4 linked regions of the Lepisosteus oculatus genome follow. The protein of the gene in region 2 interacts with the protein of the main gene of each other region in a pairwise test. Links are inferred from orthologs where the notes say so. Each region holds a gene or a part of one and is shown on either strand. Other genes may lie near its edges.

The links.
Region 1: the proteins of usp2a (region 2) and lhx4 interact in binary tests that used the Homo sapiens proteins (3 or more experiments, as listed by UniProt). The two-hybrid records come from large-scale screens. The link is inferred for Lepisosteus oculatus from reciprocal best matches to the Homo sapiens genes USP2 and LHX4.
Region 3: the proteins of usp2a (region 2) and homer protein homolog 3 interact in binary tests that used the Homo sapiens proteins (3 or more experiments, as listed by UniProt). The two-hybrid records come from large-scale screens. The link is inferred for Lepisosteus oculatus from reciprocal best matches to the Homo sapiens genes USP2 and HOMER3.
Region 4: the proteins of usp2a (region 2) and ndel1b interact in binary tests that used the Homo sapiens proteins (3 or more experiments, as listed by UniProt). The two-hybrid records come from large-scale screens. The link is inferred for Lepisosteus oculatus from reciprocal best matches to the Homo sapiens genes USP2 and NDEL1.

Annotation. Positions count from the first base shown.
Region 1 is NC_090704.1:26,256,370-26,263,644, reverse strand, and holds the start of lhx4 (LIM/homeobox protein Lhx4), read left to right. Parts: upstream 1-4,256; 5' UTR 4,257-4,481; coding exon 4,482-4,569; intron 4,570-7,275. UniProt on the Homo sapiens protein: May play a critical role in the development of respiratory control mechanisms and in the normal growth and maturation of the lung. Binds preferentially to methylated DNA.
Region 2 is NC_090718.1:14,956,598-14,964,599, reverse strand, and holds the start of usp2a (ubiquitin carboxyl-terminal hydrolase 2a), read left to right. Parts: upstream 1-4,991; 5' UTR 4,992-5,313; intron 5,314-7,222; exon of another isoform or gene 7,223-7,386; 5' UTR 7,387-7,470; intron 7,471-8,002. UniProt on the Homo sapiens protein: Hydrolase that deubiquitinates polyubiquitinated target proteins such as MDM2, MDM4 and CCND1. Isoform 1 and isoform 4 possess both ubiquitin-specific peptidase and isopeptidase activities.
Region 3 is NC_090724.1:3,910,934-3,918,385, reverse strand, and holds the start of homer protein homolog 3, read right to left. Parts: upstream 3,015-7,452; 5' UTR 2,454-3,014; coding exon of another isoform or gene 2,449-2,453; intron 2,072-2,448; exon of another isoform or gene 1,860-2,071; intron 573-1,859; 5' UTR 546-572; coding exon 523-545; intron 1-522. UniProt on the Homo sapiens protein: Postsynaptic density scaffolding protein. Binds and cross-links cytoplasmic regions of GRM1, GRM5, ITPR1, DNM3, RYR1, RYR2, SHANK1 and SHANK3.
Region 4 is NC_090704.1:43,782,966-43,790,195, reverse strand, and holds the start of ndel1b (nuclear distribution protein nudE-like 1-B), read right to left. Parts: upstream 3,006-7,230; 5' UTR 2,917-3,005; coding exon 2,847-2,916; intron 1-2,846. Other genes in the region: RING finger protein 222, read left to right, coding at 4,750-5,412. UniProt on the Homo sapiens protein: Required for organization of the cellular microtubule array and microtubule anchoring at the centrosome. May regulate microtubule organization at least in part by targeting the microtubule severing protein KATNA1 to the centrosome.

The sequences.
Region 1 (7,275 bases), on a different chromosome or scaffold from region 2:
GAAATAGAGGACGAACAGAAATATATGTTGTCATCTGCTCTGTTCAGTGGTCTTGTAAGGACATCCCAACCTTGACTTCAGCTTATGACTTTGCATTAAAGGCTCAGTATGAATGTGACAAAGTCTTATGCTGCAAATGGTCCACGTATATTTATAGGCATATATGATGCTCTATAAAAGATCAGAGATCCTGACAGACTTGATAGGAATGCAGTCCGGGTTTCTCTTCTTCCTAAAACTTAGTACTGTATATCCATCTTAAACCTGCACACAGAATTTAAGCAACACCAAAGCAGGGTATCCAGATGATTATCACCAACCATCTCTGTTTATTTCCATTAACGTATCTGCTACCTTCTTACACATGTTCTGGAAGTGCCCTGTGGTAAGAGTCCTTGTAGGCGTGTCTCTAATGTACTGTACCTCTGGATCATGCTGCTATGCCACCAAGCCCTCAACCTCTCCTTCTCAAGAAGGATTCACAATCTGCCAGGAATCTTCAGATGCAGTGGTTTTAGTTTGTGCTTTTATTTGCAGCCACAAAATTTCATTTCGTGAGGTTAGTTTGAGACTGTGATTTACTTTAACCAATACTAAGACTATGTTACCTAAACTGAACCTTTTTACAGGCTCAGCAGTCAAGAATATGATGGAAATATTCAGCATCCTTAAAGACTTCCAACACAGTCAACCCAACCGACTCCTTCAGATCGCACTGTGAAACACAGACCAAAGGTTACAAGTGGACACTACTTGGAAGTCCATTTAAGAACAACAACTGGGGGTACATCTTTCATAAAGGGTTGGGGGAGAATGGAACAAGCTAACCAACCACGTTGTTGAAACCAGTACCCTGGCTTTGTTTAATAAATGCCTAACTACCACCTGCACAAGATAGGCTGAATGAATGACTCCTTTTATTTGTACCTAATTCTTATGTTCTTAACATAACAGTGTTATGAATGGAAAAGTGGGTTCCGTTCATTTGCAAAAATTGTTCTTATGGACAGATGTAGAACTGGAACAAGAAAGTGTGGTAGCAAGGAATTCTCCATGGGAGCAACAATCCAAAGACGCTAGCTGATGGTGAGAACAGGAGGATGGTTTTATTCGCTAGCAAGACTGGGCAATGGAGACGATACTAAGTCATGGGAGTATAGGAAAAGCTAGCCAGACCTGTTGTTGAAGCAGATACCCTGACTTAATTTAAGAAATGGTTAAATAAAATCCTCAGGTCAACTAATTAACAGGATAGATGGGAATGCCCTCCTTTTATAACCAAGATGATCTGGCAGGAAGAGTGCACCGAAAACAGTAAAATTTAAACATTTAGGCTTCTGTTGGTTATAAAACAGGTTTACAGCAAAGTGGCAAGAATAAAATAACCATATATATCAGATGGGAATTCCAATCATTTATAAATGAGGATATAAATCTATGTTTTTTTTCTTAATCCACAAATTAACAGACTTATAGCTTTGCTTTTATTCGACACTACAGCATAAAATGTTGGTGTTCTCCCTAGATAACTAACTGATTAATTGTGCAATAAAAAAGATAATGAAAGAAAGACTTGTAGCCACATTCTTATTTGGGCCAGCCCTGGCAAAAATTAGTGTGAGCACCTATTGGCACAGTCACAAGAACATTGTCTAGAAGAGAATCCGTGTGACATTATTTCAACATCTAGAAGAGAGAAATAGATGGAGAATGTTGGGTGATGTACTGAAGCCCTTTATTGTCATGTAACATTCCTCAGATATTAACACAGATTACTGTACTTGAAAAACAGGCAGATTGGGAGCTGTCCATCATACAATGGTGCTGAAATCTGCTGACATACTGTACTGTAGTTTGTGTATTAAAAAGGCTGGATGAAATAAAAATGAAAGAAAACCGCATGCCAAGAGGTAGACATTTGGATTCTGGTTACATTCTTGTTAACAATCAGAAAAATATTCTGAAAGACCACTAGATAAAGATATGTACATAACTGAAACATGTTATGTAACAATACTATAAAACGAAATGGTAATGTGAGAAACCTGATTTTAAGTTCTGTAAGTGATTTTAAAGTGATCTACATAAAGGAAGAAAATGTTGGTTTAAGGTCATGGAAAGGCACAGCATGTTTTAGTTTTATAATATTCCAAACATGGTCTGAAAGCAATGTTCCCCAGACCTAGGGTTGTAATAATCCTTATTACTACCCTGGCAATTTGTATTCCTGGACTCTTTATGATATATTTTTTTTACTGAGCTATTTATTTCAATAGATTAGTAAGGCAACAATTTATTAAACAGGTTGAGAATCACCTAGCATAAAATGCCGCATTTACTGAGCATCTTTAAACCTTTAAAAGCCAGTATATATCTGAAACCAAAAGCCCACAGCTGACAACAATTAAAAAATACAATCAATACAACAACTCAAAACAAACTTTACAGAAAGGATAAAGATTAATTAGAGTAGAAAAATGAAGGTTCAGTTGCAATAGAATAGAAATAAAAAAATTAAAATTAAATTCAGGATGTCCTAAGGTTTCTTTATTGAAGGGGACCCAGCCTTATGTCATCTTAATTTTTGTAACATTTACTGAGAGCTGTATTGAAGGAAATAATTATTTAGTCTTCTAGGCAGACTTCAAAATCCACTCTCGAGTTGTAATGTAGTTCAAACCAAAAGCACTAAAGTTGGGTTAAGGCATCTCTGCTTAAAAAACAATCAATCAATAGCCACATCCTTAAATCTAATTCCAGCTCTAATGCCACTGATCCAGTTACACACACTGGTTTCAGTTTAAATCTCCTCAAGGCCAGTAAAGCCATAAGGATTGTTCTATGAAGGCAGATAAATTATTCAAAATAAATGTTTTTTTTGCCATTCACTAGAATGATGTGGCCTGCTTTCTCGTAACTAAATTCTATGAGGTTTATTCTCAATTTATCAATCTTCCTGTCTAGTCTTAAAAGTAATCTTTATAAGCCAAAGCCAACCTTTATTTTATCGTTACCTTTATTTACATGACCTTTCAAAACAAGAACATATTCGTCAGATTCAAGCAGTGATTCTGGAGCCCTAACCTCCAAGAGTTTTGTTTTGAGAGCTGGTGGCTTTTCTGCTACCAGAAAGAACCTCTACATGTAACCATTTTTTAACCCTGAATACATAGTTATAACAAATTCGGCCAGTCAAAGGTACTGTAAAAATGTTGCTCTAGAAATAAATTACAGTGGAGTTTGGTTGTATCATTAACATACTACAATGAAGGTTCATCAGCCTTTAAATCTGTTATAAACTGTCAACAAAAGAAAAAACTATATTCCTTTTAACTTATGTCTTGCATTAGTCAAAGGCATCAAAGCTTTTATAGATCTCTTTTACTCTTTCTTTAGCACAGGTTTGGTAAAAAGCACACTTGTTACAGGCTCTCTCAAGAATAATAAACCTTCACAGCATGGGATATCATGGGAGTCTAGTTCCTTCTTCCATTGAGTCCAGGTGTTCCCACTTTTGAGAGATTGGTCTAGTATAGGCACGGCCCTGAAAGGTTCACTAAATGCTCTTCAGAGCAGAACTAGATATGTCATCTTTCTAGTGCAGACTGCTGTGTGATCTGCGTAGAAAACAATTTTCAACCAGTACAGGATTTGCTATATGGGCATTTTCCATGCCAAATGACAATCTGCAGAAACAACTCAGTGTGCTACCATCCTCTTCTGAACTAGTCTAGTAAACTCACTATCACAGATTCTGTGCTAATTTATAAAATGAAGAATTTAGCTTTTAGTCATCGAACGAGGTACGTTGATTGAATGTGAGAACACACTATTCCTTTCACGAACCAAAAAAGTAGCACAGAAAATGTTAACTCTGCTGGCATTTCACCTACGGTATATTTAGTATTGTTCCAGAAACCATACTAATGTACTCTGAATAGTCAGTGTAGTGGGTTTGAATAGACCTGTTTAGTACATCTGTATAGACATCTGTAGCACACAAAAGCAAATCCTGGTGTTTAATGACATCAGTCATTAAATGTGCTGGATTTGTAGACAGAATGTGACCAGAAAAACGCCTTTCAAAACATCAATTGTCAGCCTTCTTTACAATGCCCTGTAAAATGTGGTAGGAGTAGCTTTAAAAGAAAATCATGTACTGGCTTGAGGCTTTAACCTCGATAGAAAACCAAGAATGTTATACCCAGCTACCCAGTTTGTTAGGCAGTCCTAGACTTGAATATATTACCATTGATCCCTGGAGCATAAACAGACCTGACAGGACCTAGCAGAGGAGAGAGAGCCAAGAGGAGGGGAGGGCCACTGCTGATTCAAACTGGATTAAATAGGTAACCTGTGCTGCTGTAAAATGGCTCTGTTACCGCTGTCACAACTCGCGCGGAATTAGAGCAGAGAGGGAACAAAGCCTTCAGAGCCAACGTACTGTACATGTAGGTGCTGCAGGAACAGGCAGCAGGGACATGTCTTCTGTTTTGTATCCTGGGGAGCATGGTATCCCCAAAGAAATCCTTCTGGTTTGGCTGCAGAAGCAGGAGCAGCTCCATCAAGGTGAGTCTGGCCTGATTGGGTCGGTGAGTTCTCACTCAGCAAAGTTCTTATGCTTCAGCAGTGCGTACAGTACCTCACATCTGTCAGTCTGCACAATGATGACCTGTGTGCCGAGGAAACACACCAAGAATGTCCAGACTTAGCCTTCTTGTTTTCTGTGTGGCCTTTCAAGCTGTGTCATCTGCAATTCTTTTGGTTTAGAATGGTAGAAATAACACAGACAGATTAAAGTGCAACACCACCACTCAAGCCAAAAAAGTAAAGATGGCCAGACAAGAACTGTTATTTTTGCTTGTTAGGCAAGATAAAGTAACTTCACCGACTGAAACATACTGTAGTACAAGGTCCAGTCCAATGTATTAGCCAGGTTAAGTGGCCTTTATCATCTCCTGGACTGTTGGACTTTGTGCTATTTTTAAATCAATGTGTTTTCAAAAATTAGATCTGTGAGTGTTGCACTTCTTTGCTTCTGTTTAGGATGTAAATGCAGAGTAGTTACTGACCTGTAATCAATTACTCCTGGTTAGGATGCATGTTAAATGGAAAAGGTTCACTGGTAATGTGCTGTATTTTAAATGTTTCAGTAAAGACAAAAATGGGCTTTTTGTTAGGTACCTGTATTTCACTGAAAAAGAAAAGGCAACCATAAAATTGTCCAAAGAAACAAAATTAAAAAAGAATGGGGGTTTGGGATCAGTGTGGTAATCTCGAGTCCGTCTCATATATTATTTTAAGGAAACCTCACATTGAGGCTAGGAGAATGTCAACTGAAGAGGAGAAGGAAGTTTTGTTTTGTGACAGACAACACAGTACAACCACATTGAAATAGAATTCCACAGCTAGCATTGTACATGTCCCTGACATTGCACACTCCCAGCATCCAGTCATAAAACACTATTCACATTTTCTGCAAGGGAACAAGTATGATTTATGACTGTAAGAAATAAAAAAAATCAATATTGAGGTGAGTGAGTTCCGATCTTTAAGCACTATGGAATCTTAAAAGATAAATAGGACAGATTGTACAAGAAGAAAACAGTATTCTCCATGCCAAGCTATTTTGTTACTGAAAAATATATAATTCTCACACTTAACGATTTTTTTACTCTTGAGTTGGCTTGGGGTCCCAGTGTGAATCCATGGTTCATAACCTATGACCAGACAGGCTTTGCATTTGGCTGGACGCTCAGTGAAGATCTGCTAGGAGCTGAACACCTACTTCCTTTGACTGGTGTTAATTTTGAGCTCTCATCTTTGCAGAGGCCTTGGGAGTAACCCAATGCTTGCAATGTCCAAAAAACTTCCATGAGAAATTATTTGGTGCACACTGCTCTGTTTTATTGCAACAGTCAGCCAAGGTCTCAACTCAGATGATCTTGTCAACTTTATTGGTCCTTACTGCCCGCTGCTTTTATTCAAAGTGACTTACATTTATACTGGGGGGTATTTTACAGAAGCAGTCTGTACATCCAAACTAAGCGTCATTTTCAAGGGACTCCTGAACGGTACTCAAACTTATCCGACTGCTTTACTACTAAAATGTTTATTGGCTTGGGGTAATGTTATACACTATACAGTATACCTGTAATACATATTTAACTTATAGCCCTGCCTAATGTTCACAAGCGTTATTTTGCATAGTCTTGTCAATAACAATTTACAATCTAAAATTTGATTCAAGTGGTATTGCCTGCAAATTTACTTTTACAGTTACTTTATTTGACGCCATTTAAAAAAAAAGAGATCCTTTTTGTAAGCAAATGACCACATTGCAACAGCATGGGACACCTCGCAAACAAAATCGTACAGATGCTACATCTCATTCATTGGTGTTTACGACGCCAGACAACAGGCTCAAAACACGAGCAGTGCCTTCTGAGCAGCTCTCCAGTGCCTGACTTTTTCTTGCTGGTTAATAGGATTCCAATTGGCTTTAAGCCTTTCAAAACCTGTTTAAAAATTTCCAGTAAGCGGAGAAAGAAGCAACGGTAAATGGATTAAGTGGTTTGTCTGATATCTTAATTGTTCTTATTTAAAGATATCTTTTATCAAATGGGTGTGTTAAAGGTTATTGAAATTTCAGTTAGTATCTGCTTGTATAGGTGATGTCCAATGGATGGTTCCTTGTATGATTCAGAGGAAAGTATTTGTGGTAGTTATACCTCATTTTTGCAGTAAGTTCTATAGTTTTAATGGGGATTTATTTTACTACTGTACATTTATTGCAAGAAGAACTACTGACTTTGGGTACCCTTTTCTTTCTTTGATGATTTTGTATTCTGAACAACACTGGCATAGGCCAGAAGCTCATTGTAAATGTTTTTTTTCCTGGATATTATCATCATTATCATCAACAACACAGGCATTCATCACGATTGTGTATTATGTAAGCATACTCTATGCAAGGTTCAGTCTGAAAGCCCTCCATCTTTTCTTTGGCCTTGGGTAAAGGCTAAGTTCACTGGAACAGAGGTACAGGCTCATGCACCAGAGATTAATGACCTGATTTTGTAAACTGGCATTGCCAGTTTTCAGGCCACTGATTTGTAAACCCCATTATTTAATTCCAAATGTCGTGCATATTAAGATCCCATTTTCCACAAGCATCTGCTTGTGTCCACCTCTCTGAAGTCAGTAACTTTTCCACTAACAACTGCACAACTACTCAGGTCAATAAGATATGGTACAATAACAGTAAGGTTGTAA
Region 2 (8,002 bases):
CGTCGGTTTCCCGAAACTGACGAGCTGCATGAGACTGGACCCCAGCCCTGCACTTCCTGTGCACATTTTAATTTTGAGTTTGTTTTTACTGTAATTTTCATTTGCTTTTAATATTGCTTTTATGAATTTTGTGGGCCATTTTTTCACCTTGATGAACTACCGATTTCTCCTTCCTGTTGCATGGCTCATGCTGTCATGCTGGTGGCCCCTGCTGGACAGAGTCCATGTGCTGTTCGCTGGCAACACCCAGACCCCCTGAGTCAGTTCGGCCTGAACAGGCGTTCGGGGGATCAGCGAGGTGCGCTCCGTGGCTCGCCCTGGGCTGAGGCTGTGAGCTCGGCCCGCTAGGCACTGCGCCCTCAGCTGTTTGCTGGAACCTTAACATGGCCCCTCTGGCATAATTCTAGGGGAAAGAAATGTTTTTTCTGTGTTTTTCTTGCTGTCAAGCCCTCGTGGTTAAGAACTAGAAATGTTCAAAAACACCAGAAAAACATGGGTCTTTCCTGCTGACCTGGAGCTACTTTTTCTGTGAGATGTGACCCTCCCCCACGGCGTGGATGTTATTCGAGTCTGGCGGAGGAGCTGTAAGATAATGTCTATCTGTTTGTTACTTGTGTAGATTACCATGGAAACTGTGTAAAATGTTCTGGTGCGATGTGTGGGTGCTGCCCTGAGCTTCGGGCACAGTCCCCCGTCCTCCTGCCCCTCAGCAGGGTGAACACTGGTCACCGTCTGTCCCACCCGCTGTCCTCGCGCTGCTCGGCTCTGCACGTCTGCCAGAGGCGCTGCAGAACAGACACTCTCCTGGCGCCAGGCGGTGGCACAGGCAGTGGCCTGGGGGGGGCGATGGTGAGCCAAGCTGGCACCATCCAGGCGAGAGCTCCTGTTGATGTGGGGTTTGTGATGAGACATTTTGTAAGATAAATGACTTTTATTTGATCTTGTATAGGTATTTTGTCTGTTCTTGCCTTATTTGAAAAAATAAACTGAAACTGTTCCCTATTTGGTCTGCTTGTTGGTGTCATTTGTGAAGAAATGACCCCAGAGTCTTGCAGCAGACACCTGTCTGCACTGGGGGGTTAAATCACAGACATGGCTTTGGGGGATTCTTGTAAAGACAAAGGGATGTCGAGAAGATGTCGTCATCTTGAAGCCATTTTCGACAACGGACTGTACGGCACTGAACACTGGTGGGTCACCTGCGTGACGGCTGCAAGCATCTTTAAGCGCGCCCTCCGGTGGTGGGCATATGCAATGCCCGCTAATGATACACTTGAGGTCATTGTTTCAACTTAAGCGTAATGTTTCCAGTTTTTCTGCTGACGCCCGTCGATTAGGTGTCCTTTAATGGGCGATGTACTTTCAGCACAAATCTAACAACGCCTGAAAACGCGCGGTGCGGCGCACAGTATATAATTAAACATTGACATGAAAGGCGGGGTGCGTACTGCAGTGCGTAATTAAAACCCTTTGGTGTGCCGGCTGACATCCTCGGATGCCCTGGGCCGCTGGAACACAGACTGCGGTGATTCGACGGCGAAATCCTGGTTAAGTCACAGACCTAAAGGCCAGTGTCAGGGTTAATTAAAGAATTGTCATACAGAAGCACCTCTTGCTAAAGCCCTATGAATCACTGACGATGACTCATAAGATATATAGAAACGACTGATGAATTTACAGTGCTGTAAAAGCAGTAACAATAAACGCAGCTATCTGTGAGGCTCATGCTCTGTTCCCCTGACTGTGCCAGGAGATCATACACTGTAGTGGTCTGCAGCTGCATTTAGTTTCCTCGTTACGAGACTGAAGGCTGGTTCTGATGTCCGTTACGATGCACAGAGCAGGATGCGACCGCCGTCATAAAAGATCAGAAGAGCACATTCTTTGTGATTGTGGTGGTGGTTTTTTTTTTTTAGTGTCATTTCTAATGGAATCGGGTTCAGGATTAGGGCACCACGAGTTTGTAAGAGATGGGTGGCCTGACGTAGACTCCCTGACACCTGGTATCTGTGAGGACAGATAGAGAAGGGTCTGACTCAACACACAGCAATGCGGTTGTGTTTAGAGGAACGGGTCATCATGAATTCACCCCTTTAAAGATTACTAAGAAACTAAATAAAGCTCTTTTTTTTTGCTCAACAAAGAATAAAATTAATTGCTGCTGCAATCGCAATTGTAATATATATATATATAATTGGAAAGGTTATAGAAAAATATAAATTACTGTGTACACTTCATACTATTGGATATACACAACATTTAATTGAAATATATGATTTGTGTGTTCTCCCTGAAAGGTTAACACTTTGGTACACATACTGTAAAATTAGATTAATACATTGAATAACGTCACTGGAAACGTCTACAGTTCCCTGCAGGTGTTGAAATCCTACGGATTGCCCACATTGGATTGTACTGTACACGATTTTGTGAAATATGGTTCAAAGTTCACTGTATTTCAAGCAGTGAGATGGACATCATTAGTGTCCACCAGAGGGCGCCGCAGTGCGATATTACAATAGAGCGGTGTAGCTGAGGCATAAAGTAATAAGAACATAAGAAAACGTGTTACAATGAGAGGGGCCATTACGCCCATCTAGCCCCTTTGGTAGTTAGTAGTTAATTGATCAAGTATCTCAGCCGTAACTTGAAAGAAGCCAGGCTGTCAGTTTCAACACCATGGCTTTGTAGCTTGTCCCACACTCCCACCACCCTCTGTGTAAAGAAGAATAATAATAATGAAAAATTTTATTTTATATAGCGCCTCTAAAGGTGCCTTCTCAAAGCGCTTTACAGGATGACAACAACAATAAATAAGAAGACTACACAAGATAAAACACAATGACAGTATACAGAGGAGACCGTGGATGGGGGTAGTAAGAAGAGCAGAGGGGTGAAGAATGGAACAGTTCAGTGAAGACTCTTCTGAAGAAGAGGGTTTGGAGTCTGGATTTGCAGGAGTTTAGAGAAGGTGACTCTCTGATATCCTTGGGGAGAGAGTTCCAGAGCTTGGGGGCACAACAGGAGAAGGCCCTGTCGCCCATACAATGTAGACGGGCTGGGGGGACAGTTAGGAGACCCGAATTAGAGAGCGAAGGTTGCGAGATGGGGAGTAGGGCGATAATAGATCAGACAGGTACTGAGGTGCCAAGCCATGCAGAGCCTTATAGGTGAGCATAAGGATTTTAAAGTCTACATGGAATTTGACCGGAAGCCAGTGCAAGGACTCCAGGATAGGAGTAATGTGAACACTAGCAAGAAAGGGTAAGTTGGAGATGGGGCAAAAATTGTTAAGATTGTCGAGAGCCATGTTAGGCTTTTTTGGCACGGGGGTAATGGCAGAAGTAGATGGATCTAGCAGACTCTATAGTAACCTTATACTCAGATAAGTAATCTCTCCAAGCCTGATAATTTACAGAGCGTGAGGGGGAAGTGTTAGAAACAGGTAATTCTAGATTGAGGAGAATGGCTAAGTGGTCAGAGAGGCCTAGATCAAGGGGGGAGCAGTGGGAGACAAAAGAGTCATTTGCAATAATTAAATGCAAGGTGTGTCCTTTGTTATGTGTAGGGGTACAAACAAACTGAGTAAGATCAAAGGATCCCAATAGAGAAATTAAGTCTTTAACCAGACTGGAAGACCTTGAGTCAATGTGTATATTAAAGTCCCCTAGAATAAGGATCCTTTTAAATTTAAGGCATAAAAATGAGAGAAAATCAGCAAACTCACCTAAGAAGGCTTCACTGGGTTTCTAAGAACACGTGTTCTTAGTGTACTGCACTTCTACACTGTTTCCACAACTGTTCTCTGTTTTTTTGTTTATCTTTAAGAACTTCTCTGGTTTGACTGTCAGTGTCTTTAAGGATTCTGAATACCTGCCTCGAACCCATAATCCTTACCTGTACAATACTAAGTTCCTTCAGCCTTAAGCGCTTTGAGTGGAGTGTAAAGAAAAGTGTAAGGAATTAGTATTATAATTCTAGGCTTTTCACTTTATTTCCTGGCATTTTGTTCGTCTTTCATAATGACCTCCCCACACTGTCAAAGATTTAAAGTGTCAGCTTTAACACCTACGTCTTTCATAAGATCTTCCAGCTCAGTATTTCCCTTTGTGTATATTTAACGTTTACGTTTTTACTACCGGCGCTTTGTCTAAAGCAAACGTTATTCGTCAGCTACCTGGTCGGGTGTGGAAACGTGCCGTGATCTCGCTGTTAGTGCACAGGTTTTAGGACGAAGGTGTTTGAACGGACCGTCTATGGACAACACGATCAGAAAAGAACAAGTGCAGTTCAGTCATCCCGTCGCCAGGGGTCCTCACCCGAACACAACTGCTTTGACCGCAGCAGCAGTGGGGTATTGAAGAGGATAGACAACGACAGTTTGATTACCGTAAAACCAAGCAAACACACGTCTTCTTTCTGATCCCAACGCTTTGAAAGTATTTTATTGCGGTATTGCAGACCTTTTTTTTCTGAAGGAATGTGAGTCTACCGCTAGTGAAACCCTATAGGACCGCTGTGGGGACAATCTGAATTTATTAAAAACAAACAACAAAACAAATCAATTTAGAATTCAGAATTAATATTAAAATATTTCTTATGTGCACTTCTTGGCTAGTAGTAGTTCAGGAGGGTAGCTGCGTCAGCATGCGTAGGCTGCAAAGGAACGGTAATAGGTTTCTTCCATGCTGAAAAAGAGAAGACAGAAAACACAACGTTTCGATCGTGGAGCCGCTCACACCTGAAGAAGGCTCCACGGCCGAAACGTTGTGTTTTCATCTTCTCTTTTCAGCTTGGGATAAACCTATTACTTCTTGGCTGGTGTGTTCATAACGGCAAGAACAGGGCACGAAAAGCTCTGTGCGCTTCTACACGAAATGGGACGGTGTCCTGAGGTGGCGTGTGTTTACTCCCGTTACCTAGGCAACCGCGTGGGAGGCGGTGCTATGTGACGTCAGGAAAAGTGAAGCAACCAATCAGCGACAAAAAGGTGAAGGGACGACGTCACTGTGAGAGCAGGAGACCCGTTATTTGGGAAGAAACTGGACTGTAAAAAAAGGGCTTAGAACTTGTTTTTTTTTTTGTGAATTATTACTATTTTGAATGTCCACTGTTTTAACTTCCGTCCCCACAAGACAAGTCCCCCGGACCAGGCATCTTGGGTCGAGAGACAGCGGAGAGCGCCCCGGTGGGCTTCGGCAGAGACAGCCCTCCGATCCGGGACAGGGAGCGAGTCGCTGCGGCCGGCCGGGCTTGGTCTCTCCGCCCGGGAGTCGCCCCCTCACGCCCGGGGCCCGGTGACAGCCCGGCGATGTAAGTGACACACGGTGTCCCCCGATCAGCGCTGCCCCGCCGGCCAGCTCGCCAGGGGCTGCTGCTCCGGTGAAGCGCCGGTCGGTTCGTGTTACATCACGCGTTGTGTAACGCCATCCGCACCGGTTCGGCAGCGGGCCGTCCCCTCCGCGTCCGCTGCGGGACCAGGTTGTTACCGACTGTCTTTTTTTTGGGGGGGGGCAGTTATTCGCCTCGCGCCCCTCCGTCTGGCTCGTGGGCCGGTGGGTGCAGTTCCAGACAAGATTCCAGCTCTGGACGTCCCGTCGGCGCCAGGCCCTTTTGTGTCCATGTCCCGGACCGTCCCGTGCAAACTGTATGTGGGAGCCAGTACGTCATGGGAAATCTCACGGGCGAGAGGAGAGCCGTAAGCATTTTAGTTAGGTTTTTAGATCGCGGCAGCCTCATGAAAGCTGCGGTACAGAGTTTTGGGATATGCGCTGAGATCTGCACTGCCGGTGTCCTGTGCTGGCTTCGGTTAATAGCTGCATTGCCAGGGTGGTGGTGGCACCTCTGATCTTGTGAGAGTACGTCACGGGACGTCCCCGTGTAGATTGGTACGATCTTGGAATTGAAGGGGATGGGGGCTGATTGATCATTTGGTTGCTGGTGAATTCCGTTGGAAATAAAAGTCCCCACACTCTGCGTGAATCCTGTTTTGTTTTTGTTTTTTTTTCTAAATGGGTTAACACACACGCCTTTGTGGAAGTTTGTCCATTTGGGTGATTGTGAATTCAAAAACGGTTGTTTGTAACCCAGGGCTGTGGGGCAGAGTCCTTCTCAGTTTGATCCCTGACGCCACCAGGTTGTGCCACAGACCCGCCCCTCTGGGAGGGAGGCAGTGATGAAGTCTGAAGCCACAGCACCCACCGTGACAGTGTCTTCTCTGGCAGAAACTCAGGGTCAGAGGTCTCGCCCTCGTTCCCCCTTCAATACTGCATCTCCGCCCTCTCCAGTGGGATCACGCAAGGCTGCTCCCACACTGGCCAGGCGACCTGAGCCCTAGAATCCATGCTGGAGAGCTCCTGGTGTGGGCACAAATGGGTGTGGGGCACAGAGATCAGACTCCCAGTGCACAGTGGGGTGAGGGAGGACAGAGATCGGGCTCCCTGTGCACAGTGGGGTGAGGGGACAGAGATCGGGCTCCCTGTGCACAGTGGGGTGAGGGGACAGAGATCAGGCTCCCTCCTGTGCACAGTGGGGTGTGGGGCACAGAGATCGGGCTCCCAGTGCACAGTGGGGTGTGGGGGACAGAGATCGGGCTCCCAGTGCACAGTGGGGTGTGGGGGACAGAGATCGGGCTCCTCGTTCACAGTGGGGTGTGGGGGACAGAGATCAGGGTCCCTGTGCACAGTGGTGTGTGGGGGACAGAGATCGGGCTCCCAGTAAACATCAGGGTGAGGGGACAGATCAGGCTTGTAGCAGCTGCAGTCTGGTTTGTGTGAGCTCACATCACAGTGACGTGGACGACTGGTGCCAGGGACAGCAGACCCTTGGAGCAGACTTTGTGTGTCGTTAAAATAGTGTTGGAATATGTGCCTTACTGCCTGGTCAGCACAGTTTGCGCACATCGCCACGGTCCATCTGCCTCCTCTCCGGGGCCTCGTCCTGCCTTGGGCTTGTGTGGACTGCAGTGTGCACAGGCACATTTCTCTGCCTGTCCTGCATGTGTCCGAGGGGTATGGTGGGGAGTTGACCCGCTGGGGAACTGGCAGTTCTGACCTGGAGCGCGAAGCAGAAGCTATGGTGGACAGTTCAGAGAAAATGACAGTAAGAGGCTTCCGCTTTAAGAGAGCTGGAATGCAAGCGAGTGCTGAGTGACCTGAGAGGTCAGAGGCAAACGCTATATTTACCAGCCCTGTAACCTGATCCCAGCCCTTCTGGATTACAGCCTCTCCCAGCCTCTCCTCGCTGGGGCTCCAGCTCACAGCTGCTCCGAGGTCTGCCGCAGCAGGGATTCGACAGGCGTCTCTGCCGATCTGTCGCCGCTTTCCCATCCTGACGGCTCTCTCTGGCCTGGGCTGCTCCTCTTAGGCGTTTGTCTGTTTGCTCCAGTTATTCCTGAGAGCGGAGGAAGAGGCGGCGCCGTGTGCTGAGTGATTCCATTCACTCCCACTGTCCGCCGGCTTCTGGTGCAAGGTAACTGTGTTGTGTGGAGGAGACAGTGTGCGCGCCGAGAGGACAGTGTGCGCGCCGAGAGGACAGTGTGCGCGCCGAGAGGACAGTGTGCGCGCCGAGAGGACAGTGTGCGCGCCGAGAGGACAGTGTGCGCGCCGAGAGGACAGTGTGCGCGCCGAGAGGACAGTGTGCGCGCCGAGAGGACAGTGCTTGCGTGCGTGTGGAGGGGATAGCGCGTGTGAAGGTGGCAGTGCGTGTTGATGGGACAGCACATGTTCAGGTTAGGGACAGCGCGTGTGGCGGGGACAGCGCGTGTGGCGGGGACAGTGCGTGTGGCGGGGACAGTGCGTGTGGCGGGGACAGTGCATGTGAGGGGACAGTGTGCGTGTGGAGGGGACAGTGCACGTGTGTGGAGTGGACAGTGCATGTGGAAGGGACATGCGCGAATGTGGAGGGGACAGTGCGCGTGTGTGGAGTGGACAGTGCATGTGGAAGGGACATGCGCGAATGTGGAGGGGACAGTGCGCGTGTGTGGAGTGGACAGTGCATGTGG
Region 3 (7,452 bases), on a different chromosome or scaffold from region 2:
CCTGCCTCTGTATCAGAGAAAATCGTCTCAATAAAAGTCACAAGGGGCTTGACAGTTTCCTGCCAGCCACTATAAGAGACAACACTGGAGCCATATATTAGTGTCCAATGGCCTTTCTGCCACAGAACTCATGTTAAATAAACCCACTGGTTATAAACTATTTACTTGGCATAATGTCCACGATCAACTGCTCTACAGTTTTTTATTGTGGTCTGTTCCATTGCAGACGAGTAATTGCAATGCCATCCGTAGAACCAGTCACTAAATAATGTAGGTCATAACGAAGTGACTATTGCAAACTTTTTCCCAGGATATGAATCACAACTGACCACAACCCCTGGGTAATACACACTGGGGTTCTTTGGAGAGCAGAAGTTAAAGGACCTTCCTTTTCAAGATGTGTTTATTGAAATACCCCACCCAACCCCAACCTCCCAGGCAGGACAGCCTGCAACTACCTGACTGAGCACAGAGGCACGCACACACACAACACACAACACACACGAAGGACGTTACTAGTACCTTTCTCTGTGTAGTGGATACATTGTTACAGGCTAGGAAGAGCTCCTTTTCTACAGCAGAAAGAGAAAAGGGGAAAAAAGGTGTAAGTGACAGGATAAGAGCATGCAACTCCATCAGAAAGCTGGATAACCAGCAGCAGCTGCAGACAGACAAGGTCACAGCGAAAGAACATTTTCTACAGCAATATCTGGTCACTGATTACAACCTAGTAATACCCAGCAAGACACAAACAATAGGACAACACATGCGGGAAGGCGGTTATAGAAATTCTCCAGATTTTCATGCCAATATCTGATAGAGAGCAGAGAATAGTGTTTCAGCTCTGCTCTAGAGCATACAGAGCCACTCAGAAGAAGTGTCCAAGTCAATACCAGGGCATGAACCTTATTTCTTATTCCACCCTAACCAACTTCAGGAACAATAGAGACGACACCTGATGCAGCTACTGAAAACATTTTCAGAGAATTTCAGAAGATCGTCTGATTAGGTGAAACTTCTCTTTATTTAAGAGCGCTGGTCCTAACTGGAGAATTTTCCTTTGGCATAAAGGCAACACAAGAGGAGTCCCACTGTGTTGCTCCAGTGCGTGACTAATCACACCCACCCGTGTTTTACAGAAAGTGCACAAGAAAGTGAACCTACTTATATCAAGCCGGGTGTGTGTGTGTGGACGGAGCACATTTACTCCACATATCCGTGCAATTACATGCAAGTTGTCACGAAAGATCCTTTCCAATACTGTCTCACTTTTGTACATTGTAACAACACCTATGATCCAATTACACAATTCGCTGCTACTATTAAATGTTACTAATCGCCGATGGTATCGTTACTTTAGAACGCAACACGATGCTTCCGAACAGCACGGCGAAATCGTCTCTGCCACGTGGCTTTAATAGACGAAAACTCTCGCGACAGGACAGGGCAACCCACGCAGAACTGTCTCCCGTGGAATCCTGGAGACCGCGAAAGGTCACAGCGGAGCTCTCAGGCTTTCTGCTGGCGAACGTTCTCGCTCAAGTGTCTTTCCAGTCATGTCACCTGGCGTGAAGGTTCTGCGCCCGAGTTGTGTTTCATTAAATATGAATGTTCAGCTCTGTGTTCCCACGCTCTGAAGACGCGAAGTTTTCCCAACAGAGGTTTCTTTTAAAGCACTTAAGCAGAATAACTTGAGGGCGACATAAATACTGTAGGTTTTTCAGCTGTCTTGCAACATAGTAGGAGGGCGTTCCTCCAACCTTTATGCTGCTTTTAAATCCTGTTCCCTTATCCCTCCTACATTTTACTAGCTTCCCCGATTTAAAGCGTATATTTCGAAATAAATGATCCATACTTACATGCCCCGTTAACTGCATACAGTATGTGCTTAGGTCTGGCGCTGGGGGGAGGGGGTAATTATTTAAAAGCATGCACAGGTCCCAGATTTTCATTTTAGCACTTCGTTTATTAGTTTCATACCGGTAAAATCAAGGGGGGGCTCCGCCACTGACAGCCACAGCATGACTGTCCTGCTTCAAAGTTTGTTTGCGTTTAAAGAAAGTAAAAAATCAGACCCAGCCACTGTCGCAGCGGTTTTTAAAGACTAATCCAGCAACACGAGACGAATGCTTTCGTAAACGCCGCCAAGGGCAACGTGTCAAGATACGTTCTGAAGCTAGCTCATAGAAAAGCACTTTTCCCTCCCAAAAGAAATTCATCCAATGCGAGGAAAACAAATATGAACTGATACTCTCCGTGCATTGCTGGTATTCGTCAATCCGCGAAGAGACACTGGAAGGAGGCTATGTTCTTAAACATCAGTTTATTTATAAATATCCACATAGAAGCAATGTGGTCAATGTAGCGCCATCCTTAACTTTTCCCTCATTCTGCTATTAACAACATTTTTTTTTTTAAGTTTTAAAAAATAATAACAACATAACTCACCCCATTTCGTTTTTACTCCTGTGTAGATTTTGTTTTTATGTCAATGCTGTGCAGCCCCGTTTTCTAGCTGGTCATGAGAGGGTTTTTTGTCAGGCTTTCCCGTTCTTTTGTCTACGGATCCGGATGCTTCTTAAATTTCCACCGGAATTTCACTGCATGAAAAGAGGGATGAGTTCTTGGCTGTGCTTGCCCCCCGGAATCAAGCTGTGCAAGAATCGCCAATTATGAGTCTTTTCAGAAGGAAAAAAAATGTTCTCAAACGTTGTATTTGCAAGTTCGGAAGGTGCTTCGTCCTGTACTGCAGTCCTTTTGTCTCTCAGAGTCTGTACTGCCAAGTTCCTCTTTCTCCTCGTTCTGCACTCCGCTAACCATATGATTTAACACTCATGTTCTGTATTTCAGCTTCCCGCGTTGCAATAGTCTACAAACGAGTTTATTCTTGCGTTTGTTTAATGACGACTGTCAAACCTTCGGGCTAGCTCTACTTTTCTGCGGGCTCATGGTGTCTTCCAGTCCTGAGAACGCTGCCACAATCCCATTCTGGATGGCAGTTCTTGCTCCAGTTAGGTTTTAAACCATCTTGTTCGCCACCTGCTGGTTACACGCGGAATGACACATCGCTTAAAGCTGTCGAACCTAGTGTTCTGTTTTTAAAAAACTCCCCTCTGTGCTTTCTGCGGGTCTGAACGCCCCCGCTCCCTTTGTTAAAGAGCTGTCATTTATTTAAACCACAGGTGCACCATTCCATTCCTCTAGTGTCCAGAATCCAGCAGGTTTTCTGGGTCGTTTTAAATCCTCGGTAGATCTTCGAAAAGAGTTAAACTGGTCCAGTGAAACTAACGATTAGGCCAATTAGGTCATTCAGAGCAGAGTGGGATAGAATCTGGAGACACTGCGACGTGCCAGGAATGGAGCTGTGCACCACTGATTTCAGTTTCTTTGGGGACTTAACTTGCAGATGAAAACATTACATATATGGACTCATATAGGATACTATTACAGAAGTTTTAAAACTCTTGGACTTCGCTGTATCAGTGTCATAGCAGAAAGTAGTCCTTTCTGTGTCTGTAGCACAACACTCTGTAGCACAACTCTGATTATTGTGCACCTCAGATATCTTGTCAATGGGATGTGGATATCAAAGCTAAGAGTAATGCAGTAGTAACTCATCTCAGTTAAGAGCATATATCAAGAAATAGTGTATTACACCTTATAAACTAGAGCTGGCAGCACAGACACTGCTGAGAGCAGTGGATTCCTAAATAGGCATTTATTTTCCTCCATAGTGACTCTGTGTGCGGATTTCTTTCCACTTGGCTTTAATGAATGTGTGTCACCTTGGTGATGTCTTTTATATCCAGATGAGCAGCTGTCCTGCATTGGTGTAAGATCCTGTCAGATCTCAGAAGCTCTGTAAGGTCAGTAATGGAAACAAGAAAGAGAGGACTGAAACAGAAAATACAAAAACTCAAGCCAATATGCAGTTAATGAAGGGGGCATGCTGTAAGAGGCACTGCTTTGGATGTGAAATGTCAAACTGAGCTCCACACAGCAGATGGTAAGTCAGCTCAGGTATTGACCCTTCATGTCCCAGCTCATTGCTGTACAATTAAATGAATTCAGATCTGCCCTGTTTTAGAGTGAATTGTGATCAGAGATGTTAGCAGACACTGTGTCACCTGATCCCATCAGATCTCAGGAGCTAATCGAGGCTGGGCCTGGGATAGAAAGCCTCCAAGGAAATCGGGTTGTTGCCACTGCAAGTGGTGCTGGTGGACCGGTAGGTGGCGCTCTTTGCTCCGTCAGAATTTCTAAACCAATGTCTCGGTACAGTGACTGAGATAGGAGGTGCCTTCGTTTGGTTGTGATGTTAAACCATGATACTGACAGCTTGATCCCAAGAGATCATATGGCACTTTTTGAGTGGGTAACTGGTGTGATGCTTAAATTCTTCAAATGCCCAGGCTCGCACAATCTAGAGCTCTCTCTTAACTCAGCTCACGTCTGCTCCTGATCTGCTGGTTAGTGGGCTTGCTGGTGCAGAGGGGCTCCCATGTGTCGATGAAGTGGATCCCCTCCTAAATGGAAAGTGCTTTAGGATCCTTTGACATGAAGCGTTAACAGGAATCACAGACTCTGTTCTTATCTCCCGCTTTAAAGAGGCCAATATGAAACCCATTGCTCATCCTCAGACAGCAGAGCAGCTGACGCGACCGGAGGAAAGCGAGAACGCCCCTCTTTCTTCAAGCCCCCCGGCTCTGCGGGTGATTTCATTCGTCTTCTATGTGCCGGTGCTGCCGGCCCCCCATTCGGGACTCCGACACCCCCAAACCCACACGGCAGCTCCATTCAACCAAGCTGCCCGTCAGACTTCGGAAACATGGCAAGTCCAAAGCCTGCCATTAAAGTGGAAGATGACCAGATAAAAATCCCCCACAATATGCTTCTTCTGGTTTACTAAGGGAGTGTTTGATCTACTTTGAAGTGATCTATCCGTATACACAACTGTGTTCTGTAAAACTTGAAGCCAAATATATAAGTGAAATCCTAAGACACTGATGGTGCACAAATTGCCAAATTCAGCTTCTTTTGGTATTTTTCACATCCCCTTTTTTCTCAGTTAACACTGTCAAGTCTTTTCAGAAGCTTGTCTTTCTTGTTGTTTGGTTTGAACAACAGGTTAATAGGACAAAGAGTTGGAAACACCAAATTAAAATATAATTAATGTGAAAGGACACTCACATGTGCTCTCTACAACTTGTGCTATATAACTAAATACCAGTTTCAGACTGACCTGATCATACATACTGAATCACTGTTTTCCATTAATATTCCACTGCAAACTAACTGGGTCTCATAGCATTAAGCATAACATGTGAACATCAATCCCAAGTAGACACTGTATTAGCCAGGAGTCTGGCTCAATCCCTCCATTTTGAGATTTATTCCTGGCTTTCCCAAGACTCGGTGACAGTAAATTTTCTGACTGCAAATATCATACCAGACAGGCAGGGAAAGTGCCACATGCAGGCATTAAAAAAGTCCCTATTCTCCAGCAGCTATGAAAACTGGCTGTATCCAGGTCTGGGGATAATGCTGTGTGTCTCACTATAAACCTGTCTTTCTAACGGATTAAATAAAAACTGATTTTTCTCAACATGTTGTGTCCTTAAACCACCTGACAAGAAAAAAACAGTGTTGCACAGATGTCCCCACTTATGATGAGAGCTGGTGAGATCTCTCTCACACTAGCCTGTGACTTGACTGCGCTGTAAAGACTGGTTTCGTGACAGAAGCGCAGCGTGAGTCCACATGATGGAAAGGTACCCCGATTGTTCACATCACCATGCTGAAGGAATCTTGAAAAGAAAATAGCATTATCCGTGTGAAATATAGATTAATAATACAGAAGCAGACAAATATATGTAGTGTATTTAGCGTGGTATTCTATGCTGATGTTCTATTTTCCTCTCTGAAGGTGGCAGTACTTGAGTTAATGCCCTAGATTTGAACTCAGTCATTATATACTCTTGAGAAAACACTGTAAAAATGCCATTCGTTGTTTGTATTGTGAGTGTTGTAACAGCTGTTCTTTCGCTCCTCAGGGAACCTCCGATTCAGCGTAGAGCTTTTCAAACGTGCTGCAGTATACTGTAATAAACACCGGCGAATTTGCTCGCTGTACTTTCCTAAACAATGCTCGGAATAAATCCCCTTTAGCCCCTCTAAACGAGGCGTAATCGGCGTTCAATTAAAAAAAGAAAACGAACGAAAGGGAAATCTATAGTTTATTCTCAAAGGATAAACAACAGCTGTCAACCAACTGCGGTTTTATTTTCCTGTTCAAAGATTTTTTCCCTTGTAGCCAGAAGTAAAATGTAATTTTAGTAGATCAGTACAGGCGGAGAAAGATATGATTAACAGTCTCTGTCTCCGAGAATGGAGGAAATGAGTTTCAGACAGGATTTGGGATCGAGTGACCACGCCCCTCCCTAAACGTCCTCCAATCAGACCGCTATAGGTCGACACACCTTCTAACACGTTGCCCCTCCCACCTCCTTATTAGGCAGGGCAGAGGTGTGTTTATAATGAAGGCGGGGTTGAGGAGATAGCAGTATTGCTTTGTTTCATACAAGCTTCTTAAACGATTTTTGCTTTTTTTAACTATGAATTCCTACTTTTCAGTAACATTCTCGAAACGTAATAGTGAAGATTACTAGCATGTCTATCTGTCCCTTAACACATCCTTAACATTTGGCTTTTTATCATGAAAAACGTGTCCAGTACTGTTATAATTTCTTGAGAAGTAAAAAGTTACATTTTGCAGTTCTACACAATGCATGGAGTGGCTCCAAAAAGCCTTTTTAGTTTAATAGCACTGACCGTGACAGAGGCCTGGCAGCAGTATTTACAGGTGATGCTTTAAAATACGTTCCCTGCAATTACAAGTTTACAACATAAAGAAAAGTTTGTTAATTCTGGATGACTGAGAAACGGTTGATATGCAAAATGTGCTGTTTGCGCATTCACCACCCCTACAAAACCCATTTTCCAGGACAGCTCATAATCTTTAAAATGCCAGTAAGGCAAACAACATTTTCTCTCATTTAAATCCTTTGCTGCCCTCTATTGATTACAAATGCGTCCAGATTTTACTTTTCCCAGAATAAAAATCACTTTTAATTAAGCAGTCAGATGTATTAGATTACTAAACATAAACTCTGAAAAACATACCTATTTTATACATATGTTGAAAGTATTTTGAGTACCACTCACGACTACTAAAAATTGATTGGGGGTGTTATTATCCAATGATCAATCAACGTTATTAGTCACTGCATGCTTTGCTAAAAAGATTTTATGCAGTGTTTACTACTTCTATAAGAAGAATGAAAATTAAACTTAGTCTGTTTACAATTACAAACCAAATAATTCCTTACATTTATACAGCACTCCACTCAAAACACTTCACAGACCCCACACAGCAGCCATCAGTGGGAAGGA
Region 4 (7,230 bases), on a different chromosome or scaffold from region 2:
TGATCTTAGTGAGTCTTAAAAATGACCAACACCTGAAAAGTCAAGCTAGTCCAGCTAAGCTGCTAACGGAGGTTAAGAGCCCAGCTGGGTCACAAACCCACAGGCACTGCGGTGCTCCAGGACCTGGACAGGACACTATTACCTCAGATGTTCTGATTCACTCCCCTTTCTCAGTGGACAACACTTGGACTTCTATATTCTCAAGTACAAAAATTATATATATATGAATAGAAGTTACTATTTCACAGTGCTATTGTTATGATAACCAAGTAACGACATTCTGTTTTTTTGGACATTCTACACTAATAAACAAAAACACTGGATTCTGCCAAATCAATGACTGATTTTAACACACTTTCCCTGTTCAACGTTATAGGCAGTTCAGGTAAGAATTTCAATTTCCAAGCATTTTAACATAATATATAATAATCCAGTAAAGTATAAACTAATTGGGGAACTTGTCAATACCAACTATGTTAGATTGGTTATAAGATACAGGGACTTTGGTGGTTTGCATTCATGACTTAAGATGAACCAGCAGGATTTTCTCAATAAATACACGTCTTTATAATGCACTGTGTAAGGAGAAACTGGTTGATAGGTGAGCTACGGACATACTAGAAAATCAAAGCCATGAAGACTGACTTACTACTTCTTGATGTTATAGGGATCACAAACCCAAATCACATTTAAAGCAGTGTTATGAATTCACCCACAAGATAAACATGAGAGCAAAGCTTTATTTAGACAGTTTAAAAAAGTGAAACTATGTGTAATGCAATACAGAAATTGACACTCGGGACTGTTTAAATGTTTACCTTCAGACAGTGAGGACAGAAGAAGCCCAAAGAATAATAAATGGCAAGAAAGAGTACAGCAATTATGTGGTATATACATTTTCACTACAGGACACATTCTATACATAAGTCTATTTTAAATATAAAATCTCATTAGGATACCACACATACAAAAAGCTAGATTAGAAGAACACCCTGCATAAGAGAACATGAACTCATTCAGGAGACTACAACGAAAGTTAAAGCAACAAACCAAAGTCCACGTTTACAGATTCTCATGATCTAACTATTGCGTCACCTCCAGTAAAACCAGCACGACCTCTGCCAGCACATATTCTAGCCACCCCAGCCCATCTGGATGTCATTAATATGGTAGAAAGCAATTTATGCCTTTTCTCTCCCTCCGTCTTAACAGGGCCAAGTTGAGTCACTGCGGTGAAGCCGCAAGGAAGATATTGGACAAATGAGATGCTTCTGCAAACTTCTCTCACCCACCCCTCTCCTAGGTTAACACATGATGTAGTCCATCCTGCTGTGAGAAACAAGACGTCCTGAGAGATAAAACAGTAGCTGGTCAACATGTGGTACTAATAACACCCAGGACGTGGGTTCGATCCCTGCCAGGCCAGCAGTGCCGTGCTTGTTTATGTACTTAGTGCAGCAGTATGGAGCAATGGTTAGAGATCGGGACTTGTTTCAGCCTCTCCAGTAAAACACACAGATGTATAAATGGGTGCAAATATCTGCTGTTTTGGACAACCGTGTCAGCCCGATACATTCTTTTACCAATTTATGCCCATTCACCAGGGCAATAGCAAGTTGATTAACGTTAAAGTGCGAAAGTAAAAACAGTAACTTCCCACTCAGGAAGCAGTAAAGAGTCCTGAAAACCAAAATTTCACTCCTCAGCCTTAAGACCAAAAAGAATATATTTCATTCTCCTTTTTATTTAACGATTCACCCAATAATAAAAGTCCATACAACAAACTGGAAGAGATTCAACTTGCTGGAAATTAAAACTTAAAAGACATCATGTGGAGGTCATCTCCTGGCTGACATTTCATCAAAAACCATGTTCCCATGATTCTATAAATAGTTCACATTTAGGTCAGTTGTAAAAAGGTAAACAACCTATCAATGTAAATTGATAAACTTATGTGAAATGTCACCTTCTTATTCAAGCATTATTAATATGAAAGAATACCAATTTAAATTTACTGTGCTGAACTCATACACACTATCGAAGGCTTAAACAGACGCTACTTCAAATAAACCACAGGAATGACATAAGAATTTTAAAAACACTTCCTTCAGTCTGAATATTCCAGTTCAACGTTGTGGACTGTCTAGAATCAACGAACAAGAGAGAGGACAGCTCTGTTTATCTGTGACAACGGTTTGCATTACGAAAGTGTCATCTTTACGCGATATGTGATATATAGAGAGTTTTGTAAAAAAAAAAACGTGATTGATAAATCCTACATTTCATGGGTTTATTTCTGTCAAGCGTGGGGAACTTGCACACAGCAGGGCCGTTTGAGTGGCAGTCATGTTACCCAATTAAAACCGAAATGTATACGTCACATCCTGATCCCAGCCAATGAACACGGATGAAGGGCGGGAGCATCAGAGGTTAGACTGACCCTCTTGCAGTTCAAGCCCGAGAAACGTAATATGGGACAAGCCGCACCCGAGAATCAAAAACCGGTACCATTGGTGAGTCTTCATTGGAAAAGACTGGAGAACATTAAAAAAAGCTAAGAGGCTAACATATAACAGTCGTGTCCGAGGAAAGTACACAGCCCATCTCAAGCAATGACAGTCTAACAACCTACAAAAAACGATTTGAATAAGCTAATTTAGCATCGTCCCTTTTGAAATGAACGGAGCTAACCTCGTTAGCTCACAATTACGAGTCAACAATTTGTAAAAACCAAAGCTTTTGGAAAAGTGACAAACGGACACGCATCTACGGGCAAAAGAACATACAGCTCGAGTCACACTAGGTGAAGCGCAAGTTGTTTAGAGTAACAAGTTAAAAATACATACCCGAAGAGCTACCTGACGTCTCCAAAAACGGCCCTTTACTCCATACAAGACCTAGAGCAGACCGCACCATTTTTTTTCTAATCTCGGTGACATATTTTCAAGCCAGCCACAGATACGATCTTTGTGCAAGTGGGAATTTCAAGTTGCTGCCTAGAAACATGACACGTCAGACAGAAGTCGGCTGTCAACAACGACGGCGTCGCCTTCCCCCCGTCGAACCGCAGCCATTCCGCGTAAAATACACGCCGCTTCAAACCCTGCTCGGCATTTTCGGAGCGTGGAGACTAGTCCTTACCTGAACATCGCCGGCCCGTATCCCTCTGGGCGTCTGGGTCTCAGCACATCCCCTGTCTCCTCTCTGTTTAGTAACTGAATCTCGGCTCTCCAGCCCCTCTCCACCGGGGTCACGCAACTTCCGGCACGACGTGACGTCACAGACGCGCACGGCCTTCCCTCCGGGTGACGCAACTGCACACCGATTGGAATTCAAGGATTACTCAGATTTCTTGGAAATATCATTTGATACTTTTTTTTAATGCTATGACTACAGCCACACATTTTTTCTTGAGTCGTGAGAATTCTTTTTTTTACACGTATGAATGTCATTTTTAGCAACTTAATAAAAATCGTAGAACTTAAATGCTTTATACAATTAAACGAATGGAGAGCCCGTTCATTTAGAAATTAATTTAGCAATGTCACGCACCTATGTCTACCTAAAAATCGGCACCCAAATTAAACAGCCGTATTTTTCCAATGTTTCGTTTCTTTTTTATCGTCGTGCGCCGACTGGTGGAAGATCTGCAGCCGCCAAATGCCCGACTCGTGTAAAAAAAAAAGAAAAAAAGGGGAAATACACTATCTGGTGTTCTTTTTTTCCCAAACAACGTATTGCATGTACTACATATTAAATTACACAAGAAAACAAGTAAAAGTTTCTATCACTTTAGAAGTGGTTATCAAAACAAAAGTTTACAGAAAAAGTAACACCGTCCAACAAGAGCCAATTAATCACAGCCACAGTGCCTCTCAATTAGTCCCAAAGTGGCTAATTACCCTATTAACAATAAATACCGTTTTAAAATAGTGACAAATCTAGTGCTGTGAGAGCCGGGTCTTTTAGTGTTTTGTCTCTTAACAAAGGGACAAAGTTCTTAATAACAGATTCATTGATCGCGATTTTATATTTATGATTTTACGTTTGCTTTCAGTATTTTGAAAATGTTGCGTAAGTGCTATCAACCGTATACGCTTATTTCCGAGTTTCAGAACTCCTTTCACTCAGCTGTGTTACCTGTGTTACCTCTACAGGGGAAAACAAAAAACGTGGTCAGGTATCTATTCCACCTAACTCGTGATAATTCCGGGGAATGTGCTGTATAAACAAATATATAGTGTTGTCCCTTAACCTATAGATGACCTACATCAGAACATCAAAATGCTCTGCAGAAATCAGACTTCGTTTATGTATAAACATATAAGTATTTTTCATAAGGGCTGTTTTATAAGTAATTTATTGAATTCAAGTAAAACAAAAAGTCCAAAGACAATCCGGTTTTTCAGCCTTTTGATCGTCCAATGTAAAGGAATCTGTGGGCGCACCTTGGCGGTCACGAAGGCGCTCGATGTCGTGTGTGAATTAAGATAACCGGCTTGTTGACACAATATTGGATCGGGAGCGTATCGCTTCACCACACTGGTGACAATCAGTTAAAAGACAATCAGGGCTCAGGATGAGGCGAGCGCAGGGCTGAACAGGGCTCTGAGAAGGACATACTGTAGTGGAGCTGGAAGTCGGGGCATTCTTTCGATGTTGGAGGAGAATCGCTTGGGATGCGGGGTGATCTGTAATGCGCTCTGACTGCAGTCACCTCCTGGGGGAGTGAAGTGGGAAACGGCAGGCATGTCTACAGGGGATAACAGCACGGGGGCCGGCAGTGACGAGTGTCCCGTGTGCTACGAGACCCTTAAGGACAACAAAAGGACTCTGAGCTGCGGACACGGCTTTTGCCACGACTGTCTGGTCAAGACTCTGGTCGGCGCCAACAGAAGTGGGCACATCACCAGGCACATCATCTGCCCCATGTGCAGGCACCTGACGTTCCTCACCGAACAGGGGGAGGACGTTGTGAAGGTCAAGAGCGCCAGGAAGGACGCGCAGATTTTGGAAGTTACCCTCTCTCCTCCTCCTCCGGTACCCCCTTTCCATCACCCCCTTCCGCCGCCATCACCGGCCCGCCACGCCGCCGGCCGCGCCCCCCCGCGGGCCGGTGACAGCGGAGCCAGCCGAGCCGTGTGGTTCTTCCGGAGGGCTTCGTCGAGAAGGGTCAGCTCCCGACCGCCCGGCCCTGCCCCCACCCTCCAGATTTTCACAATCACCAGCCAGGGCCGGCCCATGGCGGACGAGGACGCGGTCAGCGTGACGGCAGTGACCACCGTGATTCCCGTCCCAAGAAGGCGAAGTAGACTAACGTGCGCCACAGCGCGATGGGTGCTTACGTGTCTCGTTGCGGCAATCGTGGCGGCTGTGGTGATAGCGGTTATTCAATGTACAATGTGGAGATAGCTCACGTTTTCAATTCCCCCACCGCTGCGTCCTCCACTAACATCACATCCTATTCTGATGCGCCGATTTCCCTTGAAAGCCGTAAAGCTGTAAAGCCTGATTGCTGTGAAAGTCACTATACAAGTGTTTGCTCGTTCTTTCCCCGTTAGCACATGCAAAAAGGTGCATCTAATGACGGCCAAAGGCACTAAGAAGTAAATTCGTTCATGCTGTACCTTCAAACAACCTTTTGCTCCAGTAAAGTGTGTATAAACGTGTGGTCATAAACGTGATTTTCTTTTCAGTTGATTTATCTGGTTATGGGATTAGATACAAAGTGGACATATTGAGATTTAAAAAAAAAACTCCGTCTTGGGTAATATTCCACTTAAGAATCGGACAGGATGAAACCACTCATTGCACTTCCTTCAGTATTTCATTGTCTGTCTTATTGAGAAATATCCGTTTCAGTGTCTGTCGTAATCATCGCTCGTTCTGTGAAGTTGACCAAGTTATGATGGCAATGTACTTAATTACAATTCCGCTTTTATTTAATTAAACAATAGCGATGTAATATTACTATAAATTAGGGCTTTTTTTTTGGTAAATTATTCAAAAGATTTTTTTAAATAAATCCTTGGGTGTTTAAATGTTTATTGTTCGAGGCGTACACATCTGGTGGTATCTATTTTGATAGAAAACGGCTGTGAAATAAAAAATCGTATTTTTTCATTTTGTCTTAATTTTTCTTTACCCAGTCTTTCTAGTCTTGAATGCTTCCTATGACCCTTGAACGTGCAAACTGTCTTCTCCGGTTGATATTGAAGGGGAATTCAGTGAAGTGATAGTGACAGGCATTTTCTGTCCTAATCAGAAAGCAGATCCTTTGTGTAAAAACAAGTCTTCTTCCTTGATGCTTATGATTCATGATATACTTGTTTCTGTTAACAATGTCATTTAAATAGTGACAATGGCAGTAATGAAGTACACTGTACCTCATCTTGTTTTATTTCTCAAAAGAAAATCACGAGCAGTTTTTTTAAACAAGATTGGCACATTGGTTAGCATTGCTGTCTCACAGTGCTGGGGCCCTGGGTTCAATTCCCAGACTGCTGTCTGTGTGGAGTTTGCATGTTCTCCCTGTGTCAGCATGAGTTTCCACCAGGTGCTCCAGTTTCCTCCCACAGGCCACAGACATACTGGGAGGTAAACTGGCCCATCCTTAATGGGCACTGAAAAGCTATTTTCATATTTTGGGGTCAGAAAGAATCACCACTGGTGAGTGGATTTCAAACAGAATGAAAGTAAAACGTGCACAGTAACTTGTTAAACCTCCAATTTACATCACAAAATAGACAAAAGTTCCACATATGTGCAGCGCTGTATTGCCGTTGTAGTCTGTGATTCAGAATGAGACAACAAAATTTCCGGTGAGGTATTTCCAGTGTGCTTAATTCTGAATTTGTCAAATTGTGCAATACCGTCAATTAATCAATTAAGTAAGTAATTAATTAATTGTTACCGAGATTTAATAACCTCTTGGAGAAATTGCGACTGCAGTTCCCCTTTAATCCCCGTTATAACGCTATCCCCAAACTGAGCTTCACACCCTCTCTCCCTTAACCTACACTAAAACAACATAATACATGGTTTAGGAAACAAAGTATACCACAAAAGTTCAGTCTTCCTGAGACCAACACAAGTCATTAACTCAGCAGTTTAATGTTTTTGCTTTTTCAAGCGCGGACAATTACAGTACATTGTTATCCTTGGGCTGCTCCACGTGTGCAGTAGAAATCTGCACCTTGAAGCCTCTAATTTGACATTCAGAGGACTCTC